Linked DNA regions of Struthio camelus. The protein of the gene in region 3 purifies or fractionates together with the protein of the main gene of each other region. This does not show direct contact. Links are inferred from orthologs where the notes say so. Each region holds a gene or a part of one and is shown on either strand. Other genes may lie near its edges.

Region 1 (7,552 bases), on a different chromosome or scaffold from region 3:
AATGCTTGTAAAACTGATTTTAAAAAGGAACATCAATTAGAAATCTAATCCATTGTAAAAAGGAGTCAAATATAACTTCAAGTATTACATTTGCTCAGTTCTCTAGTTTATTCAGTGATTTTTGCCCTATGTCTTCTCCCCATGGTGACCCAGGAAAATAGGAAAAAACTAAGTCAAATACATTAAATAAAACTGAAGACAGAAAAAAACCCAGTTCTTCTTTATCCATTCACTATAAGTAAGTTTAAGTAACATAAGTAGTTAGTAGCACAAACAGTCTTACAAAAAAAATGTTTCTAAAAGATGGCACCTACATAGCTGGAAAGTAATATCCCCTACAACAAAATGACAAATTCACAGCAGCTAGACCCTAGTGCCATATGGACTGCAAGGACAGTCTCAGCTGATAGTCACAGACAATAATACATGTTATGCATCTGAAAATTCTTAAGTCCTGTAGCAATCATAGTACTTCCTTCTTCCATCCTGAGGGGCCTCTTGGATTACAAAAAGGCTTGCAAATAATGAAAATGACCACAACCATTAATACAAAAGATTGTATTTCAATTATTTTTTTGATAAAGCACTGAGAAATCTGAAAGTCTTTTCTTTGTTTTGCCCTGAGTCACTGCTGGTAGGAATGGCCATGCCACCCAGTTATTCTCTAGTTGATAATGGAGAGCCTTAATATTCAATGCTCTGTACAGAAGCTATTATATCTCCAGCTCATAAGATTAGCCTTGCTAGTTACTTGGGTTTTTTTTTTTTTTGCTATGCAATAAATCCAAAACCAATGCCAAATCAGTTCATCTTCTCAAAGATTTTAAGAAAGGAGTCGTCACTCAAGACAAATTATGGAAGTGTCATATTGGACCTCTGAACTTATTCATTCCCCTTAAGAACGTTTACGTTGCAAAATACACTCACTCCCCCCTTCACTCACAAAATCTTCTGAGCTTGGAAGTCCCATACAATTCTGTTACCACCGCTGTGGAACAGCGGTGGGATGTTCCTTTCCTGTTCTTTGATCCTCCCCCCCCCCCCCATTTCCTTTTTAAACTTCTCTATCTCTTTTTCTTGCAACATGAGCTGAGAGATGAAGCTTGCTTTCCACAGCATAGCATGCATCAGAAAGCTAGATCAATTATAATCAGTCTGCATCTTGGACCAGCTGTAGTGGTAGCACTGTACTATTTTCCAGAAACACTTGCAAAATGTCTTTTTGAGGTCTGTCACCTGATCATAATAAATCTAAGCTACGAGTAACAAGCCATATATTAGCCGACACTGTAAAAAGACTTGCAGCAAACCATGTTCTATTCTCATCCTATCTGTCAAATACCTTCCTTCACTCCAGACAGAGGTCAGTATTGTTGTTCTCCTTTTCCACGCTTGATCTTTTACAGGCTAAGCTATGCACTCTAGCCTAAAATTACATTGAAGGAAGTCATATTTTCTCCCTCACACTCAGCAAGAAAGGAGGCAAGCTTCTCAAAAAGAAAACACATGCACAATCTTCCATACCCTCCGCGCCGAGGGCGAACCATATAAAAGTTGTCCAGGAAGTTATCCCGGGAGGTTATCCAGCCCGTGTCTGAGCCCTGCCTAGACATTTCCCCAAAACACACACGACAGAAAGCAAAGTTCTCGAACAGCCGCACTCCTCACTCCTTCCCAGGCACGCTGCAGCCTGCCCCTGCTTCCCCTCGGCGCCGAGGGCGGCAAGTCACCGCCCAACCGCCCCCTCCCAACGGTCCCCCGGGCGGGGCCCTCGCGCCCAACCGCCCCCTCCCAACGGTCCCCCGGGGCGGGGCCCTCGCGCCCAACCGCCCCCTCCCAACGGTCCCCCCGGGCGGGGCCCTCGCGCCCAACCGCCCCCTCCCAACGGTCCCCCCGGGCGGGGCCCCAAATCCAACTCGCCCCCGCCCTCAGCTCGGGACGGACCACGAGCTCCCCGCTCGGTAACCGAGGGCTCCGCCGGGACGACGCGTCCGCTGGGGCGTCGCCGGGGACCGGCCTCACCTGCCGCCGGTCCGCCGCTTCCGGGCCCGCCGGGGAACGCGGCCGCGGCGCACGGGTTCCGGGCGGCCCGGGGCGGCCCGGCGGCGGCGGCGGCGGCGGCCTCCCCGGAGAGAGCGCCGCGCTCCCGTTCAGCACCAGCAACGGGCAGGGCGCGGAGACCCATACTTTTTAAGTGGCGTACTGCAGTGTCTTCAGACTTACTTTATCGCATTTTCCTCACGAATGCCAGTGGCTAGCTGAGCTTTGGAAATCCAAGCTCCTCCTACTTGCTTTTAATCACCACCCTCAGCCTGACAACCACCAAACTGCAATTAAAAGCTTTTACTTCCAGGGATTACAAACAGGCAGACACAAACATAATTATTAGCTCACTTATTTTGATGTCATCACCTATTAGGATAAACTCAAACACTACTTTTGCCCTGTACTGCTACGCTACGCATATGCTATCCTCCGCATGTGCTACACTTGCGCGTGTATTTTAAGTCAATGAAGGAAACTTTTTTGGATTTTGAACTGACAAATTTTAAAACATCCATCCTTAGTCATCTTAGCGGTATAGTTTCCAGCCTCTTACACTGCAGCTGTCCAGCCACCTTACAGCTCAGCTCCCTATTTTGCGTTTAAACTGCAGCTAACCTACAGTAGTTTACAGGCTAAGCTATAGCCTACAGGCTTCTTCACAACTAGCTAGAAGAACGGATTTAACACGCTTATAAAACGCAGCAAAAAAAACCTCCCCTCAGCCCGCACCGTGCAGGGGAATGCTCTGCGTTAAGCCCTTGTAAGAGCGACCTGCCCGGAATTTCTCCCCTCCTGTGAATTCAGAGAGCAGCTGTCTCGCCGCAGACGGCCACAAACCTTTCTAACCTGTAGCTAGTCTCGCCTGGGCCGTTGTAATTCCCCTTGACAGCCCAGGCCGCGCTTCAAGGAGCAACCACCCCTCCCGCTACCGCCGCGCACGCTCGCGGCCGCCCCCGCCCCGCCGGTGGGCGGGCCCCGCCCCAGGCCCCGCCCCCTTCCAGACCCCGCCCCTCCGGCACGTGCGCCCCGCCCCGCCCCGCGCCACCGCCCGCCACGGCGCGGCCCCTCCCCCGCGGGCGGGGCGGTGCGCTGCGCATGCTCGGTGCCCTTTGTGTCCCCGGCGGGCGGGCGGCGCGGGGCAGGCCGGGCCGCTCGCAGCGCCGCGCAGCGCCGCGCTGCGCTGAGCCGCGCCGCTCCGCTCCGCGCCCCTCTGCCCTCCTCCGCCCTCCTCCCTCCCCGCCGGCGGCGGCGGCGGGGGCCGGCTCCGCCATGGTGAAGAAGCGGAAAGGCCGCGTCCTCATCGACTCCGACACCGAGGACAGCGGCAGCGAGGAGAACCTGGACCAGGTGCGCGGCGCGGCGGGAGGCCCGGGCCTGGGCTCTCCGCCCCGCGGCGCCGCCATCCTCCCGCCGCCGGGGCGGCCGGGCCCGCGCCGCGCCGGCGGGATCGCGCCCCTTGGGTGTCCCGGGGCCGCCGGGGAGAGACCCGGCCCGGCCCGGCCTGGCCTGGCCTGCCCTGGCGGGGCTCGGCCCGCGGCGGCGGAGCGGGAGGCGCGGGCGGGGCGGCGCGGCGCGGCCCGCGGGGCTGGCGGGCCGCGGCGGGGCCGTGGGGCGATGCCGGCGGCCGCGCGGGAGCGGGCCCGGCTGCTGGCCCGCCGCCGTCGGGGAGCGGCGGGAGCGCGGCGCCGGCAACTTCCCTGTGCCGCCGCCGCCGCCCGCCGGGGCACCCGCGGGGGGAGCAGCGTGTCGGGTCCCGCCGCTGCCCGTCGGGGCGGTCGGGCTGCTGGGGCAGTCGTTGCTGCGTGCTGGGGGAGCGCCATCGGTGGGAGACTGCTCGAGGTTAGGAGCCTGCAGATGTAGCAAGGGGAAGCGTTTACTTATCATCAGGGCTTCTCCTGGGACTGGAAATACGGTGTCTGGCATCACTTTAGTCATGTCAGGGCTCCAAAGGGGGTGTCCCTGTCTTTGGAGGGGGCTTTTATCTTCCAAGTGTGGCAGTCATCCATGATGTGATATCAATGGTGAAGAAAGACACTATAGGTGAAGTATGTTGTGGGCCATCCAGCAGCGCTTGTCCTCTGAGGAGCTTTGGCTGGTTAAATGTACTGAAGCCTATGTATCTGACATAATTTATGTGCCGGACCTTAAAGGTTTTTAATATGGAAGATGTTGCTGTGTTGCAAAAACACAGACGCTTGAAAATAGTTTTGCTACTTGGAGCTTTAGGAAAGTCAAATTGGAGACTTTATTAGACAAATCTATTGGAATGGTGTATGCCCTCATCATGCTGATCTTACTACATCCCACTTCAGTCTCTAGGGCTGTCAGCTTTTTGCTGCTGGTACGTTAATTCTGTAGTTGCTTTAGAGCCTGAAAATTAGAGTCAGACTAGCCCTTGATTAGATCTGGGAAGGAGAACAATGATGGTAGGAATAGCTGCCTGGTTCTCCATCTCTTCCCATGTTCACTGAAAACATGCTTCTGCAGCTGTACCTGGATAGTAGGTTGTGGCATCAAAGCTGCCTGTCTATGCTTCCTCCTCCATGGTGTTGTTTGTAGCAACTATTGCAGCAGAGGCCTGCAGGTACAGGGATAAGAGATGTTTCTGTGCTGCAGTTTGACTAGGAGAGTATGCCAAGTGGGGTCCCTGCAGGTTAAATAGTTGACAGTTTTCTGTAGCCATCTTGTCCTGTTGAACCAAAGGAATAGGAGCCTTTTGAATACAGTGTCTTGAAAAACAGAAAGAACAAGAGTAGAAAGCAAACAAAGGAAAATTGTCTGGAATAAAAATAGTGGTAAATGTTCCCAGATATCATGCAGGCAGGTAATCTGGGCTGAAGGACTATTCAGAGGCAGTTGCAAGAGGGAAAGTCTAGAAGATAATTATAGAAAACATCAGGAGCTTCCTCAAGAGAGCTGTGCACTGTTGATGTTGTGTTGTCTTCAGGGGGAGATTTGTAAAATGCCATTACTAGTGGAAGATTTCTTTGTCGGTAAGTAGCCTAGGCCATTGGTTTCTGCAGTATTTATGTTCTCATTTGAGATGCTAAATTCTAATCCATAATGCTGTGGAGATAACCTTCCAGTTGTACAACTCATGTAAGCCAATCTAGTGTTGTCTTCCCAAGACTGCAGAAGTTGGTGTGGCTTCTGCTTGCAGCTCAGGTTCATCAGCCCCAGAGATAAATTTTCAAGAATATGGCATGTTTCACAGACTATGCAGACAGTAATGCAGCTTCAGAAACGTGTTGATTTTATGCTACTACTGCTGTCATCTGAAGAAGCAGCTGATGGGATTATTTGTGAGCCATTTAGTTCTTTGTGCTGCTATGTGTTGCCTTTGAGGGTGCTTTCTTTTGAAGGAAACAGGTTTATTTAGTTTGACAGACTTTGAGCTTGATGCCTGCTATGTGTATATCCAAAGCTTTAAGTGCATTCTCGGGTACTTAGGGGATGTTGAAAGAAATTCAGTAGACTAACTAAATGTATCTGCCATGACGTGAGAAACAAAGTATCTTTTAAAGTTTAAAGGGTGCTACAAACGTGTCAGGTTTTTTTTTTTTTTTAAAAAGATTTAGGGTGCTCGCACGAGACTCTTCAGAGTCTCATGCCTTTGGCTTTTTTAGGCTAAAAAAGCCTTTGGCTTTTTTATGTTAATGCTACACAGTGTAGCTAGGTTGTTCTTAATTTATTGCCCGCTCCAAACACTATAGCCCTGGACATGAATCTGAAGGTAACTTGTCATGATGTTCATCTCAAAAAAGTAATGACAGTAACACTTAGGTTTTGTTATCTTCAAAATCCTTTTCTAGCATTCATCTATATTAAAATTGTGTGTGTGTGTATATACACATATGTATACGCGCACGTAGATGTCTAAAAACATTTGTAGTCTTTGTTCCCTAGTCTGTGGGGATAATCGTGTTACTGAGACGTGCTCAAATATCACAGAGAAGGTGTATATGTGCTGACCCAAATTGGTAAACTAGTGACATCATTTTAAAATACGTTTTTATTTATTTATTTTTTACACTAGGAGCTCTTGTCATTGGCCAAACGGAAACGCAGTGACTCCGAAGAGAAGGAACCACCTGTGAGCAAACCTACAGCATCTTCAGACTCTGAGACATCAGATAGTGATGATGAGGTGAGTTTGTCTTGTTATCACTGAATTTACTATGGGTTACTTGTCTGAGCATACCTAAGCAGTGAAAGTATATTTAGCGTGCTGACTTCAGTGGAACTGATGGAGGCCCATTAAGCCCAGGGGGAGTGTACTCAGAAATACTTTTTTCTTTTAATTAACAAGCCAGAAATTATAACTGTGTACAAAATAGTCTGAATGTCTATAGCAGAGTTGATTGCCTGTTTAATCCCATATTCATGTTTAATCCCATGTTTTGAACGGTTTGGTGATCTTGCCTGCAACTAGTGTTGCTTCTGTGGCTGAAGATGCAGCAAAGTTGCTGAAGCTGGACCCTTAGCAGACAACCTCTCTCTCTTGAGCTTTAGAAGAGAGCTTCCTTCCTCAAAGGAGAGAAGGGCTAAGACAGGTGGTACTATTTTAGAGGCAATAAAACTGTCCTACTTAGAGCTCTTGGAGAATCAAAGTAGCTACTTTGAAGTAGCTTGTCTGATCATCCAAACGTGCAACAGAGTGTATTTTTATTGGTGTTTTTGAAGAAAGTGAGGAGAACAAGAATTTAGAATTACTTTGTTCTAGGGTTTTGTCCATTTGTTCTGTAGCAATGCTTAGCTGTTAGATATGTTTCTATTATGGGTTCTTGGTGTTAGGTTCTAGAGCTAGTTAAAAGTGCCTGCTTTCATCTATAAGTGAAAACTGAAATTGACTCGTTAAAACAGAGAACTGACAAATTGGTCACGTAGCTTCTTGAATAAAAATGTTTTCTTGAAGTGTTAGAGACATCTCTGTGAGCCTACCATGCAATACAGAGAGGTTGTTTATTCCATCCATTTTTAAAAATGTAACAAGGAAGTTTGTTTTGGTTTTCTTTGCCTTTTTCTCCTCTCTCCTCTTTCATCTGAAACTACAGGAAAGATTATTTTGTGGCAACTTGAAAACCAATAGTGCAGGTCAAAGATAAACTATGAAGTGCTAAGCTTTTGGGAGTTCTTCAGCACCTGTAAAGAATGTGACAGTATAGTTTTCTTACTGAGGGATATATGAAATAAATACTTTTGCAACTGTTTCAGTCAGCTTCTTAAAAAGAATAGCTGATGTTTTGTTACTACATTTAGTGACTTGTATCTAATACATACTTCATACATAAGGAGAGAGGAAGATATGAATGAGCTGGATATTAGGTGTGTTAACGGGTGACTGCTCGGTCTGTCACTTGGTGTGTTCTGATCTGCCAGCACGCAGCTTATTTTTAAGCTGCTTGGAGACCAACTTGTCTATAAATGTAGACTTAAGTGTGGAGAGCACCTTGATGATAGTCTTATGGCTTGTGTTTATCTCTGAAAACTGACAGAATAAATAATT
Region 2 (6,850 bases), on a different chromosome or scaffold from region 3:
CCAACTCCAGCGCCAGCCATAGCGGATGAAGCTCCTGAGACCGGCACGGTGAGCTGATTGCTAGAGTAAGAGAGAAGAAAGGTTACAGATCTCAGACCTGCTACGTTTCAGCCAGCACAAGTCCACTGTATTCTGAAGAGGATGATACGGAGTATTCACAATGGCTATGGGGCTTGATGTCCCTCAAAATGTTGGGAACGAAACCCTGACCCTTAAGGACAGAGTTGATTGTCTTGAAAGGAAAAGCAGCTCATGCTCCTCCCCAGGCCATCAACAGGAAAACCAAAAATTAATTTCAGTTGCAACATCAACTGGTCTTCCTAATCATGGTGCTGAGCACAGTTGGTAGGACAGTGATAGCTTTCTAAGGAAGCACTTTTTACGCTGTAATAGAATAACATAAAAGAGGAGAAGAAAGGAGGGACAAACTGAAAACTAGCCCGTAATTATTATTAGTTGATATGTATTAAACACATCAGTAACCCATCAAAGACACCCTCAAACTCTGCAGTTTAGCACTGGTATTTGAAAGTCTGGCTATAAAATAGGCTTTTTAAAAGATGCAATAAAAAGAAGTTTCATAAAAATTAAAAGAATATTCCAGTTAATACTATTGAAAATAACCAAATTCTCTCTCCCAGTGCCTGTGGTATAAGGGCTTAGCCTGGGTGCCAAAACAAAAGAAAAGTCAGTAGAAGGAGAGAGTGAAGCCAGATACCGATACTTCGCCAACAGCTGAGTCAGGAGCCATATCTAAATAATGAATGATGTAAAACCAGGCATAAGTTTTTTGTTTCTAATAATCCAGGCTACTAACACTTTAATTGAAGAACAAACCCCCAAAAGTCCAAATACCTCTATGAAACATCAGAAGTGTTCTTCATGGTGAGGTGCAGTGATAGGCTTTAAGAATTATATTTTAAACAGGCATATAAAACAAAAAACATCAGTAAGTTAAGAGGAGACTGATAATTTGACACTACAGAGTGGTCAGCCACCATCACGCTAAAATTTAAAAGCCAAAAGGTTTTTCAAGAGAAGTTATTTAACTAGTCATTTAATAGAATGTAAATATTGTTACCAAATTTTCCTATAATTAAGGACAATTTAAGTTAAACGTAGAATTTGGGTATAACTGAATAGCTAATTTTCACAACACAACAGGTGATTACACAGACTATACGTATTTACACACATAAAGCAAACACTTTGGTATTTTGCCCATTATTGTAACTGGGTTTCAAAATTAAGCATGCACTCACCCTTGTGTTTTGTGCATCTTATTAAACAAGTTCATCAGCACCAGAAGCCTGGTCTCCTACTGGCTTACATCTCATCACAAACTGCAGGTCCCAACGGAAACTTTTTGCACAGCTGCAGCATTTACAAGGTGCCTTGTCTCTGCATGCTTGCAGTGCAGCCTTCCTCTCTACTAGGGCACTTCCAAATCACAACAAGATGTCTACTTTCATGACACTGTAGGAATATAATTATTTGTGAAACCTCTAGCCCCTGTCAAATCAGAATGAAATTGCCCAGAGCAATGCAGTGTTGTTGGTTCAGGGTTGAACGTAGCTCAAAGCAGATAGAGTGAACTGCAATCACATGCTGCTCGTTTCCTTGGAAGAGCAGGTTCAAAAAAAAAAAAAAAAAACCTTAAAATCTCATTTTCAATGGAAATTACCCCCTCCCTCTTCACTCTGATCTTATTAATGAGGTACATCATACAGTGCTTTGACCTTACAATGGCCGCAGCCAGTAAGTGAAGCCCAGTTTGAAAACAAAACAAAACCATCGAACCCTGACAACTGAGACCTTTATATTTTCCGACTTTTACATTCATGTTTTATCTCTGCGGCCTAACACTGGGAATCCCGAAAGCGTCACCCGGTCAAGAACCAACAGGTACGTGGCCGGCAGCCCGATGCTCATCCGCTCAGCTCTCCCCTCGCTCCTGAGGAGCGGCTCATTTTGGGAGGGTGGCACCGCGTGAACACAGGCTCCACAGGCTAACTGTTGAAAACCCAAGCTAGCTACACAGGGGCGTCTCTCTGCAGACACGCTCGCATTTCCCAGTCAGTCTAGTACCACCATATTCCTTCTCTAAACGGATGTTTCCTAGCTGTCTTTGTAGATCTGGGTGTGAGAGAGGCAAACCAAGCTGGAATAAAAACCTGATTTCGTTTTGTTTTGGTTTTTTTCCCCCCCTCCAGGGCACCCTCCTCCTCAGGGGGCCCAGCTAAAGCCCACTCAGGGCTTTCAAACGGCGTCTTCGAGGCAGGTTTCCCTCCCCCGGAGAGGAGGACAACACCCGACGCTTCCCCAGCCGCAGCCTCAGCCGCTGCCCCAGCGCGGTCCCTCCCCGCGGGGTGGGTGGTTTTAGGGGCGAACCCCGTGCCCGGGGAGAGGGGGGGGGGGGGACGAGCGGCGCCAGCTCTGCCCCTACCACGGCGTCGACGCGGTTCTGGAAGAGCTCGCCGTGGCTGCGGGCGATGAACTCCTTCCTGGCGTGGCGGAAGGCGGGCAGCCCGCCGTACACCCAGCCAATGACGCCCCCCGAAAACGCCGATTTGATAATGTTCACCGTCTCTTCCGGGAACTGCTGCCGCTCGCTGCAAAGAAAGGCCGGGGAAGGGGGATGGGGAGGGGGTCACAGGCCGCGGCGCTAACCTTAGCGCTCCCCTCCCTCCCTCCCCAAAATCCGTCCGCTCAAACCGCCTCTCCGCCCGGACGCGCACCCCGAAAACGCCTTCGCAAACCCCTTAATAAAGCAGCCCCGCGCCCACAGGAGGGCCGCAACGGCCGCCCCCCCTTCTCCTCCCCCCGCCCCCCCGGCGCGGCGCGGCGCGGCGCGGCCCTCACTCGCGCTGCCAGAGCTCGCGGAGCCGCTCCCAGCCCCTCTGCGGCGGCGGCGCGGGGCGGCCGAGCCCCTCCGCCATGCCCGTCCCCCCCGCGGCGGCGGTTGGCGGCGGTTGGCGGCAGTTGGCGGCAGCAGCGCCCCCTGCCCCGCGGCGGGGCGCGGCACACGGGGCTGCGGGCCCTCGCGGTTGTAACGTGTAAGCTGTGAAGATCGCTGAGGAGAGCCAAAGGGCTAAATCCGGCTTGGCGGCGCCCTGCCGCGGCGGAGGCAGGGCGAGCCGGCTGCTGGGGCCCTAGGCGCCCACCGCAGCCTCTCCGCCTACCGCGGGTCGCTGTGCGGGTCGGCAAGATTAAAGGTTATGTGCGGAGGGGGAAAAGAAAGCAACGAAACCCTCAGGCCTGTTGTTTCTTTCTGAAAATAAAAGAGGGCAGTTCCGGGGAAACCTGAGCCACGCAGTACCCAGAACTACCGCAGGCACCACAGAGGCAGTGGTTAGTGCTTTCCTGCACCCTGAGCTGCAGCTCACACCAGTCCCAGGGCAGCTTAAGGCACGTTTTTTCCTTTACACTTTGAATGAAAAACGTTGATACCCTGCATTCAGAGGTCTCGACCCACTTGCTCATTCAAAATCCTGCTTCGAGAACGGGTTTTGTTGACTGATTTCCTTCACCATCTCTTCCTTTAATCCCTTCGTTGCCATCCTGTTTTCTACCACATGAAGTAAGTGTGGTATCTTTCATAATGAAAACAGGATCTGCTGCCAGGGCCTCCCCTCCGCTTCGTCTGCCATGCCTCGGGCTACCAGAAACTTTCTGCTAGCGGTGCAGCCGCAGGGCTGAGGCGGCTGCTCTCCAAGGAGCACCTCACTGCTTTCTCCGAGCTGCTGCCTGTGTGCACCTGGAGCACCTACTCAGGTGCCTGGGGTTGCCTTTGCGCCACGGTCCCTGTTCTCCAGATCATCTATCCAACTCTTCTATTTAATGATGCAAAAAAGTTAGTCAGCTGGCATGCTGAGACCTCTGCCAAGCATATCCATTATCAGCCTCCTGCTTTTGGTCCTCCTTGCCTGGTCTCGTTTTTATCCGTTTGTTTTTTACATGCTAACTAGATGGGAGGTTACAGATTTTTATTTTCTGTGTGTGCAGTGGTTAAATCAGAACTGAGTTTTAGTCTCTAGAACTACAGCAGTACAAATACCATACTTGCAGAACAGCTTTCACATACCACTCCATCCTTTATCTAAATCCTACTTGTGAGGAAGGGCTCACCACCTCTCCAAGCGATCTCGCTGCCCGTTCAGGCATTGTCCCATCTGCCAAGACCGGCAGCTGAGAGCCCTATTAATTATGGCTGTCTTAGTAATGTGAAAAAGGAAGTAGACTGAAAAGTATGTACCGATTCACACGGGCTATTGAACAACCAGTGGAAAGTTTTTAGCCACCGTTAGCTAGACTTTAAGGAGAGACTTAGGTGGGAAGAGCTCTCTCTTTCATCCACTCCACTGAGACACCCTAAATGTTACCATCAAAGAGAAAAAGCAAAGACACATTTCAACTTCTTAGATGAAACAGCTGGTGGTTGTCCAGATCTTTATTACAACAAAATTATTCTTCAGATTAAAAAATGATGTATCCAACAACACTTTTTTGTTTTTAATCCAAAAGCCCTTCATTAAAAATGGTTTAAAATATTCTACATAGTCGTTTCAATTTCTCAGGTTGCTCTTTGTTGACTAAAAATGCAAAACCAGAAAACCCCTTCCACTCTTACAGTTTTTTCCCCTCAGAAAACAAACTGTTTTAATACCCTAATTTGTTTTCTTTGTACACTGGGATAACCCAGACAGTGGTCCTGAAACTGGTATGTTGCTCCAGCAACTGGAGTTTGACTAATATGTCTGACAGTTATTTCCCTGTACCAGAGCTTGGCAGTGCTGCTAAGGCCTCGTCAGCGCATGCATGTGTATGTTTACTTAGCGTTACTTTTCTTTGGAACATTTTCTTCTTCTCTGATCCAAACTGACTGTGGAGAAGATTATGAGCTGTTGCTAGCATTCGCTCTTCCCTTCCATTAATGTGCAACTTCCTAAGACATGAGGCCCCTTTATAAGCAAGGGCGCCCACTTGGGATGCAGACGCCTCACGGGATCCCACACTGCAGCTTACACTGCTCTGTTTCAGGCTAGTCTTAGCAGTTGCTTCTCTGCAGTCAGGCCTCTGAAGGCTTAGGGAGGACTCTGCTAAGAACTGTGCCCGACTGACAGGTGCATGCCCAAAAGACATGCTTAGGCCACTGGTCACTGACCCCGCTGATGCAGACAATCTGTGGCACAAGAAGGAGCAGTGATCCCAAAGCATATGGGCAAACGGCTCAACAGCTAAAGGGGCCTAGACAGCCAGGTCAGGAAGCAGCACAATGCCTAGCTCTTTTCCACTAGGAAACATAATGTTTTAATGCAAGGCTTTGACGTTATTGAGCAAGCTACAAGCAGGAGGAACTGAATTTCTCTGGGTGCCAGAGAACATGCTGCTCTCCACCAGGCCCCTCTTGACACAGGGACCACAAAACATTTTAAAAATTCTATTCACTATGGGCTGAGCAGCCGTTAGTTGGTATAAATCAGTTAATCAGCACAAGCAACCTGTGACCGAACTCAAAATGAATAATGTGAGGAGTAGCTGCCATTGTGTGACTGAAGACATTTCCTAAACCAGTCTGAAGGAGATAAGAAAAGGAATCTAACAGCTGGGGGAAAGAAAAGCAAATGCTGAAGCAAGCAGTGGAGCTACCAGCCTCAAAAAAAGAACTAGAAAAGATTATAGAAAGGGATCAGAACAAAGACGCTGTGAACATCTGGAACAAAGAAGAACTGAATCTATCCCTGCAAATACTTTCCCTAGGTTCCCAAGGGTCCTAAGACATCTGGCCAGTGGACTGGCGAGAGCCTGTTAGCAGAGGCTCAGTTTTGCATAGCTGTGCGTGCATCCAGATAAGCTCATCTGTCAGAGGACGGACTGTCTTTATGTCAGTTGCCATTGTCTGCTACTCAGATTTAGCACTGTGGTAGCATCATCACCACCACTGGATCCCCTATGAGGTAGGTAATTTATGTGTGCAAGGAGAACTTGTCCTTTTAACTGTCCATTACAGCTTTGCTTTAGAAACCTGACATAAACTTCCGAAAAGAAAACTAAGTCTTAAGCTATCTAAAAAGGTTACCCCAAAACCTAGTCACTGCTTCTGTCAGGGAACGCATAACGTCCCAAATGCCATCACACACGTAAGAAAACACTGCCAATCTGCCAAAAATGGGCACGTATCTCCCAGCTGAGCAGGGCTCACAGTCTTTGCGCCTTGTCCACAATTACAGAGGACTTGATGAAAAGTCCAGTAAAATTAACAGAAAAGGTCCCGCATTGACTGGATGGGAGTTAGGATTATTCTGAGGCAAAGACAGGTAGTAACAAAGTCCCAAACGCTTACTACCCTATTCCAGGCACCAGCATAACCACTCCATTAAGTACCCATTATCCAACAGTCTACTTAATGGTCTTATGGCAACAGTTTAAGTGGGTCCCACTGTACGGGAAGACTTTTAAAGTTAGCCTATTGCTGTTCTCTGTAGTTTTAGTGTAAAGGATAATAAGCCCAGGAGGACAAGAAAGAAGGTACACTGATCTTTAGATTTCCACAGAGATCAGTTTGAGCTGAAAAGAAAACCACCAAAGTCTCTACAGTTCTGTTTTCAGTCGTTCTGAAGTAATCTCGTTGTAGTTGTTCTTCCTTTTCACTTTGTAAGTCAAGGCTTGGGAATACTCAGACAGCAGATGCTCCCAGTAGCAAGAGATATCCTCTATCTGCAAGTGCTCAGTGATGAACTGGCGTCCCCTAGAGACACACAAGACACAGTCAGAACCAACTTCCAGTTCCTACAAGAGTCCATGGTTTTGTTTTATATGTATACCAACTTTCACTCTTCTGTTTTTCGAT
Region 3 (7,159 bases):
GGGTACTGATTCGTGGTGGGGGCATCATACTACAAATTGGTATCCTCCTTCTGGTATCACTGTAGCCCATTCTCTCTCTCCTTCCCTTTTTTCATATTTACATCTTATTTTTGTAACTAGCAGACAGCCCCTCTTTTGCTCTGCCTGCAGCACAAGCTTTGTTGGACAAAAAAAAAAAAAAGCTATTTTGCAGCTCCATAGGCAATTTAATTCCCATGATTACTGCAGTGCTCACATACCCAAAGTCCCAAGTCCTTTCACATTTCATTTTCTAAGTCATTTTCAAACCAGCTCTGCCTTCCTCATATTCCTTTTTACTAGGACTTTACCAGTGAATGACACTGCAGAAAAGATACAGTGAAGAACTTCAAGCTCAAGAAACACTACTTTTAAAATTATCATAGCCTATGGCCACTGATTAGCCCACAGACACTTTGTATTAACGCATAAGCTAAAAAGATTCTAAAGCATCCGTGCTGTTTCTAAATTACAAAGAACATTTGCTAATGTGTTATCAAATTTCCCTTCCCTAAGCCATCCTAAAATTACACTGAGATAACAACAAATTCTTAACGTCTTAATAAAATAAGCCAGCTCTGGATATCTGCTACTTCAGAACTGAGAGTATGTTTTTCCCCTTAATATAGACAGACATGTGGAGGTGTATGCATACATATGTATACATACACACACAAGGCATACAGATTAATAGCAGGAAAGGAAGAAATAAGCTGCTGGATGAAGTTTTGCCAGTAAGCCTCACTGCTAACGCATTTTTCATACTTTTCCTAACAATTTTAAGTAGATACATTACAAGAGCAAGTCTTGCAAGCACACCAGCCACCTCAGACTAGGCTCTCAGACTTAGTCAAGTACTAAGACACCTATTCTGCTTTTGGCTTTTCCTCAAATCTCTCTGAACAGCCTGACAAAGGGAAGCGTTTGAAGATAGTGAAATTAAGCCAAAGATATTGAAATCTTTAGCGCTTCAAGGTTAGAGTCTTAATCTCTTTACGAAAATAATGGATAGAGATTACTTGGATACTTCAGAGAGAAACTGCAGAAATCCATTTCTAGTTTAAGATGTTTTTAAATCTTGAATGGAAGGCACCATAAAAGCAGTAAATCAGAGAGACTTATGAATTTTATTGCTGGATGTTCAAATAACTTTTATTACCACATGAAGGAGCGGGAATAAAATGATCCAGTAACGCAAGAGGTAAAAAAGCACAAGATGTAGCACAATGAGGTGGAAGAGAGGAGACTGAACCCGAGCCTAGACATTACCGGAAGGGCTATGCCTTGCCTTCCAAGTCAAAGACTGAAGCCATTAATGATGAGGAAACTGATCAAAAAACAATCCCAAAGGTTATACAGAAAAACCTAACTAAAGCACGACCTCAGTCACATAAGGAAAAGGCTCTGCGTAGTTTGACATGAACATTTCACTGGAGTATTTTTTTTTTTTAAACTACTGATACTATTGTTCTCATCCTCTACCATACCCATGCTTTTATATTAATCTCAGTCTCCTTCCTTCTAGCAAGTCTGCAAAATCTTGTGCATTTTTCCAAAAGACTGGCCAATTATCCTTGTGGCTTTGAGGAAGCAGGAGTACTAACTTAGGTGAAAAAAACCCAAAAATAATCACTGTGAGGTTAAAGACTACTAAGAATTTAAAAGTTACATTACCATAATCTGTCACATGTTCAAGACCACTCAGCATCAAACACAGTCAGTGCTACTGATATATAGAAGGGCAATGAAAACATCAGTTTTACCTATAAAAAATGGTAGTTTTTAGGCACTAAGAGAGTATTTTTCTTGAAAAATCTGCCCACTAGGTAGGATTTGTGTTGAGACTAAAAACCACAAAGCTGATGCTCGTATGCTTCCTACAGCGAGACATACTCACCTGCACAGGTGGACCTCTAGATTCAACATAAACATCTTTTAGCAAAGTGAGGAGCCTATCATCCTTTCTGTAAATTTCTTCCTGTATTTCTGGATGGTCTAAAGGCAGAGGGGAGAAGGAAAAAAAAAAAAGAGAGAGAGAGAGAGAAGAAAGATCCGAGTCATAAAATTGTTTCATTTTCATTACTTCTGTCAGCCTTATCACTTCCCCAGAGCCATCACAATACACAGAGCCTCAATATACACAGTGTTTCTCAGGCAGATTTCAGTTCTGCGTTAGTTCTAACATTAACAGTACTGTTTTACACCGAGAAACAGGGGTGCTGCCATAACTCCTGGCGCTAAACAGCACGATAAAACCCCCCTCGTTTGTAACCCGTACGACGGCCTCACTTCACTCCAGACACGCGCGCTACTCCCCAGCGGCCCGCGAAGCGGACCAGCGATTCACGACATCCGCGAAACGAGCCTGAGCCGGCCCAGGCGAGCGGGGCGAAGGGCAACGCCAGCCGTTTGCCGCCCAACCGCCGCTCAACCGCCCCCCGCGCGGCGCGGCGCAGCCCCGCACCGCTGGGGCCGCCCCTAGCAACCGCTGCTAGCAACCGCCCCGCCCAACCGCCGCCGCCACAGCGGCTCCCGGCGTGCCCCGCGCGCGGCCGCTCCGTTTTCAATGTCACCCGCCGCCGGGCCCGGCTCTTCCCGCCGCCGGCCAGCCGCGGGCTGCCCGCTCGCCATCGCCGTGCTTCCTAGCGCCTTATCAACGCAACCCTCCCTCCGCGCCGCCCGCCGTCCCCTCGAGGCCGCAGCGCGGCTCCGCTCCGCCGGACCGGTGCTCGCTGCCCGCCGCGGGCAGTCCTGCCTGCCGGGACTCACCAGCCAGCGCGTCCAGCCGCGCGGTGGGGTGCCGCGGCGCGGGCGTGGGCTTCTCCTTGCTGATCTCGCGGCGGGCGCGGCTTTCCACGTTGAAGGTGCGGAACACGCGACTCACCCGCCCGCCCATCACCGCCGCAGCCACCCGCACCGCACCGCACCGCGCCTGCGCAACTCGGCGGCAGCGGCCAGGGGCGGGGTGAAGCGGGGTGCGCCGGTCGCGCATGCGCACCGGGTTGGGCGCCGCGCCGCCGGACGGGAGGGGGAGGCCGGGGCCGCTCTGCCGTTCCCGCCTTGGGGAGGCGCGGCAGGAGCGTGGCTGTGCCTCGGTTTCCCCATGTAAGAGTCCAGTGGTGCGTGGCGAGGTACTGAGGCAAAGTGTGAATCACAAGCAGGGTGAATCGCTTTTTATTTCACGGTGTGACTCGACCGTTTTTCTCCTCTGCCGCGCGCGTTATCGCTGTGGCGTCGGCGCTCGCAGGTGCGTGGGCCTCGGTGGTCAAGATGGCTGACGCGCCGGCGTGGCGCAGGTAGCTCTGCCCTGCTCAGGGCGGGCGGGCGGCGCGCCGGCGGCGCTTTTCACCCTACCGGCGTACTTAAGTGCACAAATTCGTCCTTAAAACTGGCCGGTAGCCCACACAGAGAACATGCTTTCCCTATGGTGCTGTGTGCGTACGTTGTTGTGCTTTTAAAATCTCCGTTACTCTTTTGAAAGAGTGATGTTCCCTCATTGCTGCAAGAACGGAGATGCGTTACTGTTTCTTTTGAGGAGAAAATCGCACTTTTCTTTCAGGAACTCGTACGTGTGCATAAAAAGTGCAATTCTAATGCTCTCATGCAACAGCGACATATATCTTAAGGTATCTTTCGTCTTTTGGGAAGAACATCTTCCTGTTGTAGGCATTCATGGGCATGACTGGTCTGGTGTAACTCAGTGGGGTTTATTATATAACTAATATTACTGATGTACATAGGATTTTTTTTTTTTAATACATTGATCACCAAAACTTAAAGCAAATATTCAGTATAAGGAGAACCAATGCTGCATGATTTCTTTTGGGGTAAAGTTGGCAACATCCTCAAGGTGGCAGGCTAGTCTAGGGTTTCCGTGCTTGGTGTTGTAATCGTCGATGCAGCTGTGTCAGCATTTTGGTAAAAGACATATGAATTGCTGCTTTATAGATGATTTTTAGATATGTTACTTTATAAGTGTATTCACTTGATTTATATGCAGGGTTATTACCTGTGCACATCCTAAACCTCAAGAGAATTGTTAGGAGAAGGTAGTGTAATCCAGACAATGAAAATACGGATCAGGCAAATACATGTCATCTGCACCAACAAGCTGTAGTTTATGATGTAAAAGCTTATAAACGGACTGAGTGGCCCTGATAGCACGAATAAGAGGGCCATTCAATGTATAAAATATTATCTGCACCTTTTTTCCTTTTTCACATTTTAGCCTCCAACATACAGTGTCATCATGTGACACCACATATACTGCCGAATGATGAATCCTCATGTAGAAAGGGTATTATCTCAACTTTCTTTTCTGACTGTTATCAACTAGTATGCCAATTTAAAATATCTTACATGTTTTCTCTTTGGAGTTTTTACTTGAATAATGATAATGTGGAAATATTTAAGGATGTTTTTCATCTTACTATTACTCTGTCATTAGTGTGTGTAGCATTTCCTTACTAGCACATAGTTGCTTTATTCAGTGACAGAAAATTAATTTTCTACGCAGATATAGTCTAGAACGTATACCCTACACGGCAATTTGGAGAACAAATCCTTTGTATCATTCAGAGTTTGTGAGCTATGATATGCTGTTAAGCTATGGTCTTGATTAGGGTGTAACCTTTCTTTTTTAGCTTTCTGTGATCCAAGGCGTAGCTTTGATGCAGCCCAGCTGAATCACCTCAACCTTGACTTCTGAGAAAATTGCTAAACTGTGAAAAACAGCTGTGAGAAAGTACTTAGTCCTGAGTAACATAAGAAAGGTAAAATTGCAGACAAAGGTAAATTTTTGAGATAGAGCCAGCAGCTTCAGGATTCAAGAGAGGAAGAATATAACTATGAAAAGTTATAAAGTTCCGAGAGAGCAAAAGGGAATGAGAAACAGCAACACTACGGATTAGTGTTACATGAAGCAGTAAAGGCTGACCCCTCTCTGTCTGACCGATGACTGCCTGGCAAACACAGACTGAGAGGGTAGCTTACCAAAGGAGGTAAGCGTATTACTGACTTTTTAATCCTAGCTATTGTTTGTCTTAGCCTATACACAATTGCTTTGTACTTTTGAGTTGTTTATATCCTGTTTGCAGACTTTCTTCATGCATGGTAATAGTTGCCTGAATCAAGTAACTAAGAGTCAGTGCTATGAAGGCTAGTTAAAAGGTCCAATGTCTGTGTTCCTTTCTAGGAGGAAGACACCTATTTTCTGTCCTGGCATCCATCTAGTTTTGTTATCACTGTGTGCATGCAAAATCTGGATGCCTGTTAGTAGTGTAAGTAGCAGCGTTACTATTAGTAATAATGGTGATGATGCAGTAGCTATTAAGGCCACAGTGTGCTGGAATACTGCATAATGAATGACAGCTTTTGCTTAAAGGGAATTCAGAAGACAAAGCAGGTGGATGAAGAAAACAAATAGATCCACAAAGGCAATGAGGGCAAGGCAGCATAAGGTTGATCTGTACTTCCTCTGCGCCTTCTTCGAGAGTTCTGAAGGGGCAATTTTTTCACTTCCACGTTTTGAAGACTCTCATTGTCTATAGGGGAAGGATAGAAGCATCTCTTTAAATTCTACTCTCTGTTTATAAACTCACCCTATAACCAACCTGATCCTATTTTAGGCATTGTATGTGTACTGATAATAGGAATGTGGAACCCGCTATGAGATTTTATATCGCAAATCAGGCTGATGGCGTGTCTAATTAAATATCAGTAGTCAATTAGTGGCTGATTTTTGCCTATGTTCTGGAGCATGGGGTTTGATATTTTACTGGTGGGTAGCCTATCCGGTGTTGTGAAGGTAAATGTAATGGTAAAATTCACATGGATGCTTTTTCTTGGTGGCTGTAGACCTTTGATGTGTACTTTAGTATTTCTCTAAGACATGTTCTTACTCTTCTGTCTGTGCATGCAAGCATTGCTACAAATTTGGAAATAAAGATGCTGCTCCTTCAAAAGCTAAGAATTGTTGGCTTTCAGGATCAAACCCAGCACAGTGATTCTGTCTCTGTAAAGCCAGAATGTGACTAACACTGCTGTAATATTTACTGACAGCAAAATAAATTCACCAGAAGACAGACAGTTAAAAATAGTGATGTCATTCTCTGCCTGTCTCTTCCTATCACTGAGGATGGCACAAAGCTGTCCTTATTATGTATAAGGAAGGATCAGAAGTGCAAGATTTTTATTCTGGAGTTATAATATTTCCTCTTTCATTTAGACTGTAGCAGCAGCAGAATTGGGATTTTAAAAAATTGTTTGATCATTCAGCATTTTATCAATATAACCATATTGATGATATTAAGTAGCAGTAACCAAAAGCCTGGGATCCTTTTCTATCACGTGTCTATAAGTGTATGTTCTTAAAAAAACTGACCATATAGTTCCTCAAAGCATAAAAACTGTATGTATGTATGAATTTTTCCAGGGAACTTAAAAATAACAAAACACAGGAAAGGAACAACACAGAATATTCAACTCAATTCATTTATACCAGCAACCTGTTTTCAACAGCAGACAGTGTCAAACATTTCAGAGATAAATACTGGAACTGGCATCATATATATGTGCCATAGGCTGCCTCCTTTCCCACATCCGAGGGAGACATTTCTTAAAACTGTTCTGCACTTGGAGAATAAAAATAAATTTGCAAACATTCTTGAAGCCTTTCTGTCAGTTTTTCATGCCAGTTCTGATATTAATTTGTGGGGTTTTGTTTGTTTTTTCATTCTTGACAGGTTCTATAGCTGAATGAAAAATAGGTCCAAAATTAATTTTATTAGTTAATTAACATCAAAAAAGGCTGACTGATCTGTTGCAGATTCTCTTTGTGTAAGGGACAAAGGGGATGTCTGACCTTTAACTTGATTTATTGTGAGATGCTACCAAGGTTTCTCTGCCTTCTTTACTACTCAGAAAAGCAGGAATCAGAATATTAGTCTAGAGGAAAAGTAATCTTGGTGAAATAAGAATCTCTTTTAGTAATGGATGCTCAATTTGACAGTTTTTGAGAGGAGGCAGATGATGTTCACTACGTCATTTTATAGTCTTCAGAAGTTCCAGTGTTTAAGGCAGAGGAAAATTTGAATCCCTTATACTGTAGTGACATAGTTTAATATTTGATTCTCTCCATGCT
Region 4 (7,139 bases), on a different chromosome or scaffold from region 3:
GAATCAACAGGAGTCAGCTCATCAGTATATGTCTTCACACGGATCCGACTGTTGAACCGCAAAGACAGGAGATTGTAAACAATCTGAAGCAAAATGGAAAGAAAAGGAAAAAAAAGCATTGGTCTTGTACAGACTTTACAGATCTCTTCACAATATAATACTGGCTGAGCAGAGAGACATGTAGGCTATTTCAAATAACTTTCTTCCAGCAAAATCACATCAGCACTTCAGAGCTGGGCACTAAAAGACACTCTGTAACTGAGGCTCTAATAGCTTATCTCCGTTTTGTCCTTAGAATTGTAACAAAAAGGAAGAGAGATTCAGAAAACATGACTTACAAAGAAGAGCTCAAAAAAACAGGGATACTTATCTTAAAAAAAAAAAAAAAAAAAAAAAAACACTGAACTGATCCGTCACAAAGAAAATAGCTATCGATTACTCAGCACGCAGAAGGAGAAAGATAAGAGGAAATCCACTCAATTTTCAGCAATGAAGTTGGATAGCAGGGAACATTTCAACTATTGTGGTGATGAAATACTGATAAAGTCTGCTTAAGAGCATTATTAGACCCACCAGTAGAAGAAAAAAAACATACAACAAGCAGAGTTAAAAAAAACATGTGTAAGGTATCACATAGCATGTTTGACTGCCTTTATACATGTAGCTGGAAAACGTGAATTAATCAAGTTGTATATGTCTATTACTCTATTATTCTGATTTATGAAAGAAAAATCCCAAATTCAAGAATCTTTGGCTTCTTCAGAGAATGTATGCCTCTGAGATATGAAACACTATTCACCTCTCAGGTATTTTAGCCTAACACTAGTTATGTTATTAATGTAATAGCTAATAACTGTTAGCTGTTATTAGCAAAGCAAAGAGCCATATTTGGGAAAAAAAAAAAGGCAAAAAAACCCAGACATCCTCTGATTAGGTAATTCAGGTAAGGTAAACCTGCCATCCTTTACTTTGTTTCCTGAGCAGCAATTGGTAAGTGATGTAATATCACACAATAGATGCAGGAGGAGAAATAAATCAGCTACTTTTCATCATCCTTGTTACTTGCTGGGAACCAAAAGCCTACCATCATGCTGCTCAGATTTTTCTCTCGCCTGAAAGACAGCCTGCCCAAACTGGGCAAGGAAAGGACATCTCTTCCTCCTAAATCATAACCAACCTCCTACAGCACATGATCCCCAGGTATCTTCTACTGGTTTACACATCTTTTTTAAAGAAAAAGAAAATTGTTAGGGAGAAAACTGGTAGCATTTAAAGAAAAACATGACTGGTTCTGTCAATGACAGCTGACAGGCATAAGTGGAAGAAAGAAGAGTACTAATTCATACCTGGCCAGAAAAAGTGTTTAAAGAAAGAAGAAACTTGCAGTAGAGCACAAAAGGAAAGCCATTCAGGCTACAAACCCATTTAACTAAGCGTGTCAGTGCAGTATCAGTTACGGTACTGCTTCCACAATCAATAGGTTAAACAAAACCCAGCATTTCAGCGTGGATTTGTTTGCCTGTCAGAAAGCAAAGAATGTGGTCAGAGCTGCAACAGCATCCAAAACCATCAGCACTTGTGCGCGTTTCGGCGTCCTGTACCTACAAACAATTCTTACCTCAAAGCGATACTGTCGAGATGGAACATCAACAGCAGTCAAGTCAGCCAAGGATTTGAACTGAGCGTTGGTATGATCTCGAAGAAAGGTCAGAACTGGAATGATCCCTTCTGGATGGATCAAAAGCTCCAGTTCATTGAAACAGGTCACCTAAAGAAAACAGTGGAAGGAGAATTATTACAGACACTAACGTGACTGAGCACTGCATTGAATCCAGCAGGACACTTCAGCCAGGAGTGTACGTGGCACAGCAGACACATACTTGACATCAAGTAAAGAGACTCAACAAGAGCGGTAGCTTTTATCTAGTTCTGACAATCTGTCTTCCCCAAAACAACCTCTCACATCTAACAAAGAAACAGCGCGTTCATTTGTCCTCTCCCAAGAGCAATTCCATGGACAGCACCTACCTGTACTTGCTGGATATACTTGGGCAGAATCTCAGCCACGTACTCCCCAAAAGCACATAGCTGCTTCTGTTCTACTTCATTTTTCAGTCTGACAGTAGCTAAAGAGAACAACAAAGTTCTCAAAGTTACAACAGAGTAAGCTACAGAAAGAAGAGTAGCCACCCGAAGCTCATTTACGGGCCATCTCCAACTAAACGTAACTAAATATAACATATATATAGTGGAATATACAGTGGACTAGAACAGAGATCAGACTATATCAATATATGTGGTAAACAGCACATTCACATCAATGCTAAGCCGTGGGGCCACCAACCATTTTCCCTCCGGGGGGGGGGGGGGGGAAGGAAAACAAGCTTTATTTGTGCACTGCAAATACAGCAGGAGTGAACAGTCCAACAAGACAAAAGAAAATAGCAGGATGAAAAAGAGAGAGAAACGCTGCAACAACCTGAGTTTAGACAACGCTCGCGATACGCAGGCTGGATCTAGAAACAGGCTGTTTTTGCAAACACAACGGTCATGTTTTCCTGTGATGCGCAGGCACCCAGGCAGCTTCCTCACACCCCAAACACCTCGGGACTGCTCTTGGGCAACCTTGTATGTTTGTCTGCTTGTTTTCCTCGCCAGGCCAGACTCGTGACACGGAGGGGCTACCGAGCCGCGACCCCGGAGCAACTGCGGAGAGCGCGGAGCCGGCAGCGCGACCAGAAAGGGCGCAGAGGGGCACGCGGGCGGCTACTTACGGCGCGTCTCGCCCGCGGAGCCCCCCGCCGCCCGGGCCTGCGCCGCCGCCGCCGGGCCGGCGCCACCTGCGGACACACAGACACGCGGCTCAGGCGGCCCCCCGGGGCAGGGGCGGCCGAGCCCGGCGGCGGCGGCAGCTCCCGCCCGCCCGCCCTCACCTCACCTCGGAGCGCGGCCCGCGCCAGCCCCCGCGCCGCCGCCGCCAACATCCCCCCGCGGCACGGACGCGCAAGGGCACACGCCGGAAGCGGAAGGCGGCGCAGCCGGCCGGATGCACCCGGCGCCTTTCCGGGTCGGTGGCCGGAAGTGGCGAGTGTGCCTGGCGGCGCCTGGCGCAGGGTGAGGGGCGCGGGGAGCCGCTCGGGCACCCCGGGGCGGCGGCGGCGGCGGGAGGCTCCGGGGCGGCGGCATGAAGGGAGGCGCCGCAGGTGGGTGCCGTGGGCCCGAGGGGCGGCCCGGCCGGGCCCGGGGGGCGGCGGGGGGGGGGTGGTGTCAGCCCAGCCCGGGCCCGGGCCAGACCCGGCCGCGGCGCCGGGGTGAATCCGGCCGCCGAGGAGGCGGCGCCGCCGCGGCCAAGCCGGGTAACGACGTTTGCAAAATGTCTTCGCTGCTAGGGGTGAGGAGGCGGGAGCCTAAAGGATCCCCCCGGTGAAAGCGCTGCTCTAGAGACTAGTTAACCTTCGGGCGTTTTTAGATTTTGTGCGTCTCTCCGTAGCTTTAAAGTGGCCTTAATGGTAATCCCTGATTTCCCGAGAACTAGCTTTCCTTTTTTTTTTTTTTCCCCCCCCTCCCCTAAGTTGCTGGCAATTCTGTATTTCACTTCTTTGACCCCACTAGCTGTCGTGGCATCTGTGAGCCCCTCAGGAGAAAGCAAAGAAGTAGGTGTGCTGGCTATTAGTTAGGTCATTGCATAATCCCAGGCATACTGCAGCTCACTGTTTCTCTAGCACGAGGAACGTGTGGAGTGTAAACTTTTGTTTCATGGGACGTTTTTAATGTTCCTGTACTTCTCTTTCTTTATAGCGGAGAAATCATGGACGAAAAGGACGGCTTTTTGTTTACAAAGGGGGACGCGAGATCTACGGTAGCCTTTAGCTGCTGTTGGCATTTCTTTCGTGGCTTGGCTTCAGTCCCTTGGAAGTTGTGCAGGCCTCCCTGGGCAGACGGTTCCCCTGTGCTAAGGGGGCAGGTTGTTAGTTCATCCTTATCCTGGTCCTTGGGCAGTCGCTTAGGGGTTTTGCGCTTTGGCTTTTGGGTACCTTGAATGTAAGGATCAAGAGCAGGAACTGAAGTGGGAGCTAATGTGGATGACAGGCTTGTGCTTGCAGAAACATGTTTTGCTGGAAAAATGGTATTGAGATATTCTGCGCTGATGGCAATTTCTTAGTCTCTTACAGCTTAACGTATAGATATTCTATAATAGTTAAAGCCTGGCGGAAAAGTGCATAATTAAGGCAGGCAATCATCAGGGCTGGGAAAGAGCTGTCCAGCCAATTAGGGATGCAGAAGCTACCTCTCGTGAACGGAATTTTAGTAAAAAATTTAGAAGCCCTCCTGTACCACGTGGACCAACGGTAAGAAAGTGCACCCTTGACAAAATAAAGCATGGAAGAGTAACGGTAAATCTGTAGGATAAAATCCTGTCCCTGGGTGATGTTGCATAGAAGTCATGTTCAGTATTAATTGAAGCAATTTGAGCTGTCAGTGACTATGGCTAATGGTTGAGGTTAAAAATAAGTTTTTAATGTGAATGCAGGTAGGCATCTATTTGCTTCTAATGCAGTCAAGATCCATGTTAAAGAAAAGCTCTTTTCTACAGCAGTTCTTCTTTGGGTCATAAGCCTCTTTCTCTACCAACAAACTGTTAGGAGCTCTGCAAATAATCTCTGTTTCCTACTAAGAGGTATCATCTTGCCATTTGAGTTCTCCTTGCCACTTGGGAAACAGTGGCTAACAACATCTAGCATGTTGTTTTGCGTATTGAAGATGTCTGGCACCTTAGCAAACTGCATCTGACCATCAGTTACTTGGTAGGCTTTTCAGTTGGTTAGTTTGAAGGACTGGTGGTGATGTCTGGTAGGCTTTTTATGCCTCTTTTTTTGGTAAAAACAAACTTGCTGTACTTGATACCACTGCAAAAATTCATGATGCTGTTTTTGGATGATAATTGGCTCCTGCTGATGATATGAACTGCTGCCTCTGCTCTTTGTTAGTACAATACTGTAATCCTTCTTTCTTCCATCTAGCACAACTGTACTACTGCGGCAATCTCTTGGCTTTGCCACTTTTCTAGTGTGGTTGCTGGATTTTCCACCTGAATAGCTGTTGCGGCACGTCTTTGCATCAGTGAGATGAGCGGTGAAAAGATGTCTATGTCTTCTAATTCTGCTGGGATGTGATGCGGACTGTACTGGAAGTTTGGTATATTTCATAATTTTAAACATGCCAGCTTCTCATTTGTTTTAGTTGTTTGACGTTCTGAAGCTCAAGCAGAAGTTTCTGGCAGCACTATTTATATTCAGTCTAAAGTACGCTGGCCTCTTACCGATATCCTTGATTTTCCCCTGTACCCTGGACTACTGCATAATCTTGTTAGTGGAGGGAGAAGGTCTTATAACCATTGCGATTTTACAGATTGCTGGAGGTCTGATCTGTGCAGCACCATGGACTCATCAGAAGAGACTGGAGGCTCTTCCACAGAAGAGAACTACTTTGTGAACTACACCTTCACTGATCGTTCCCACTCAGGCCGCGTGGCCCAGGGCATTATGAAACTATGCTTGGAGGATGAGCTGTTTGCTGACGTTACAATATCAGTGGAAGGTAAAGAATTCCAGCTGCACCGTTTGGTCCTCTCGGCTCAGAGTTGCTTCTTTCGTTCCATGTTCACTTCCAACCTGAAGGAGGCCCACAACCGGGTGATTGAGCTGCAGGATGTTAGCGAGAGTGTCTTTCAGCTCCTTGTGGACTACATTTACCATGGGACTGTAAAGCTGAGGGCAGAGGAATTGCAAGAAACCTATGAAGTGGCAGACATGTACCAATTGACTGCCCTTTTTGAAGAATGCTCACGTTTTCTGGCCCGTACGGTGCAGGTTAGGAACTGTCTGCAGGTCATGTGGTTAGCAGATCAACACAGTGACATGGAGCTCTACACAGCTGCCAAACACTGTGCCAAGTCACATTTGTCTCAACTTCAAGACACAGAGGAGTTTCTACACCTACCTCTCCGCCTACTGACAGACATCCTTAAAGGTAAGGAGTTTTTGAGACTAGCCAGAATGTGAACGTGGAAAGAGACTTGAGACTGTAGTATGAGAGTGTGGTAGGGACTGAATAACCAAGACGGATGGAAAGATACAAGCTTTCATAATCACTGTCTGTTCAGAGGCTTAGCTAAGCAAAGCAAAACATTGTCCATAGTTTCATCAGAGAAAACTGTTAACCAACACTGGTCATAAAGCGATTAAGCTATAAAGCAGAGTCCTAGGAAGGAAAGACTTAACAGGAACATAGAGGATGCTGGTAATTCCCAGCAGTTCCTGAGGCAACAGGTAAGCAGCACGCAATCTTGCATGTTTTTGTGAGAACAAGGAATCCACGCTTATAGATGTCTTAAACACAGCTTATTAATCTTCAACAATTTGGTGACTTTTTGTTTACATGGAAAGTGGAGAAAAAAAAAGAAGCCTTATCAAAAAAATTAGTATCTTATGAAAGTCTTTTTTTTTTCATTCTTTATCATTTGACATAGTAATGCATCAACTGAAAACTTCCAAGAAGGCTTGAGTACAAGCTGTATTTCTAGACTTCTGTTAGTGTTATTACCAATTGTATCTAATTGTTAGGATTATTTAGGCTAGACACTCAGGTGACTCAACTAGAGGCATTGTGAAATCTTAAGTAATACAGTATTTACCCTTCTTGTAAAGGTACTAGCCTTCTACAGGAAAGGTTGCAATGAGTCAGTGTTGTGAAGGACCTGTCAACCCGTCAACATCTTAGTCCAATTTCCACCAATCCCTAAAGATTCTGTGCTGCCTTAGTAGCATACAGCCAGGGCTTTAAAACCTGTCCATGATGCTGCAGTACAGTTCCATTTTTTGTGGATTTCTGTATCGTTCTTAGAGAAAGCAAGAGGGTAGAAGAAGTTTATACATTCAGAAATACTGGATATGGGACCCCAAAGCAGTCTCCTTTGTTGTTATAATTAAAAAATAACAAAACCAAAAACCTCTGTAAACAGGTAAATCACTGCACTTTGTGTCACATATGCCGTATTTGCTGTTACACCCGTAAACCTAGGGTGACCGGCTTCTTTGGAATATTGGCAAATCTGTCCTTGAGACTTAAAATAGCCTTTA

What was found.
Region 1: the proteins of NDUFAF4 (region 3) and NDUFAF1 purify together in Homo sapiens (co-immunoprecipitation; 3 studies listed by BioGRID and IntAct, with this or other methods). This does not show direct contact. The link is inferred for Struthio camelus from reciprocal best matches to the Homo sapiens genes NDUFAF4 and NDUFAF1.
Region 2: the proteins of NDUFAF4 (region 3) and TIMMDC1 purify together in Homo sapiens (affinity purification with mass spectrometry; 3 studies listed by BioGRID and IntAct, with this or other methods). This does not show direct contact. The link is inferred for Struthio camelus from reciprocal best matches to the Homo sapiens genes NDUFAF4 and TIMMDC1.
Region 4: the proteins of NDUFAF4 (region 3) and NDUFS3 purify together in Homo sapiens (affinity purification with mass spectrometry; 3 studies listed by BioGRID and IntAct, counting the BioPlex papers as one, with this or other methods). This does not show direct contact. The link is inferred for Struthio camelus from reciprocal best matches to the Homo sapiens genes NDUFAF4 and NDUFS3.

What each region holds. Positions count from the first base shown.
Region 1 is NC_090946.1:41,250,046-41,257,597, forward strand, and holds the start of NDUFAF1 (complex I intermediate-associated protein 30, mitochondrial), read right to left. Parts: upstream 3,007-7,552; 5' UTR 2,884-3,006; intron 2,328-2,883; exon of another isoform or gene 2,224-2,327; intron 2,100-2,223; exon of another isoform or gene 1,945-2,099; intron 1,606-1,944; exon of another isoform or gene 1,343-1,605; intron 1-1,342. Other genes in the region: RNA polymerase-associated protein RTF1 homolog, read left to right, coding at 3,142-3,393, 6,083-6,193. UniProt on the Homo sapiens protein: As part of the MCIA complex, involved in the assembly of the mitochondrial complex I.
Region 2 is NC_090942.1:106,494,774-106,501,623, forward strand, and holds the start of TIMMDC1 (complex I assembly factor TIMMDC1, mitochondrial), read right to left. Parts: upstream 3,009-6,850; 5' UTR 2,940-3,008; coding exon 2,863-2,939; intron 2,613-2,862; coding exon 2,447-2,612; intron 61-2,446; coding exon 1-60. Other genes in the region: POGLUT1 (protein O-glucosyltransferase 1), read right to left, coding at 6,592-6,748.
Region 3 is NC_090944.1:53,380,013-53,387,171, forward strand, and holds the start of NDUFAF4 (NADH dehydrogenase [ubiquinone] 1 alpha subcomplex assembly factor 4), read right to left. Parts: upstream 3,015-7,159; 5' UTR 3,011-3,014; coding exon 2,788-3,010; intron 2,014-2,787; coding exon 1,916-2,013; intron 1-1,915. UniProt on the Homo sapiens protein: Involved in the assembly of mitochondrial NADH:ubiquinone oxidoreductase complex (complex I). May be involved in cell proliferation and survival of hormone-dependent tumor cells. May be a regulator of breast tumor cell invasion.
Region 4 is NC_090946.1:39,014,609-39,021,747, forward strand, and holds the start of NDUFS3 (NADH dehydrogenase [ubiquinone] iron-sulfur protein 3, mitochondrial), read right to left. Parts: upstream 3,008-7,139; 5' UTR 2,985-3,007; coding exon 2,939-2,984; intron 2,841-2,938; coding exon 2,775-2,840; intron 2,127-2,774; coding exon 2,029-2,126; intron 1,769-2,028; coding exon 1,619-1,768; intron 84-1,618; coding exon 1-83. Other genes in the region: KBTBD4 (kelch repeat and BTB domain-containing protein 4), read left to right, coding at 3,185-3,203, 5,410-6,030.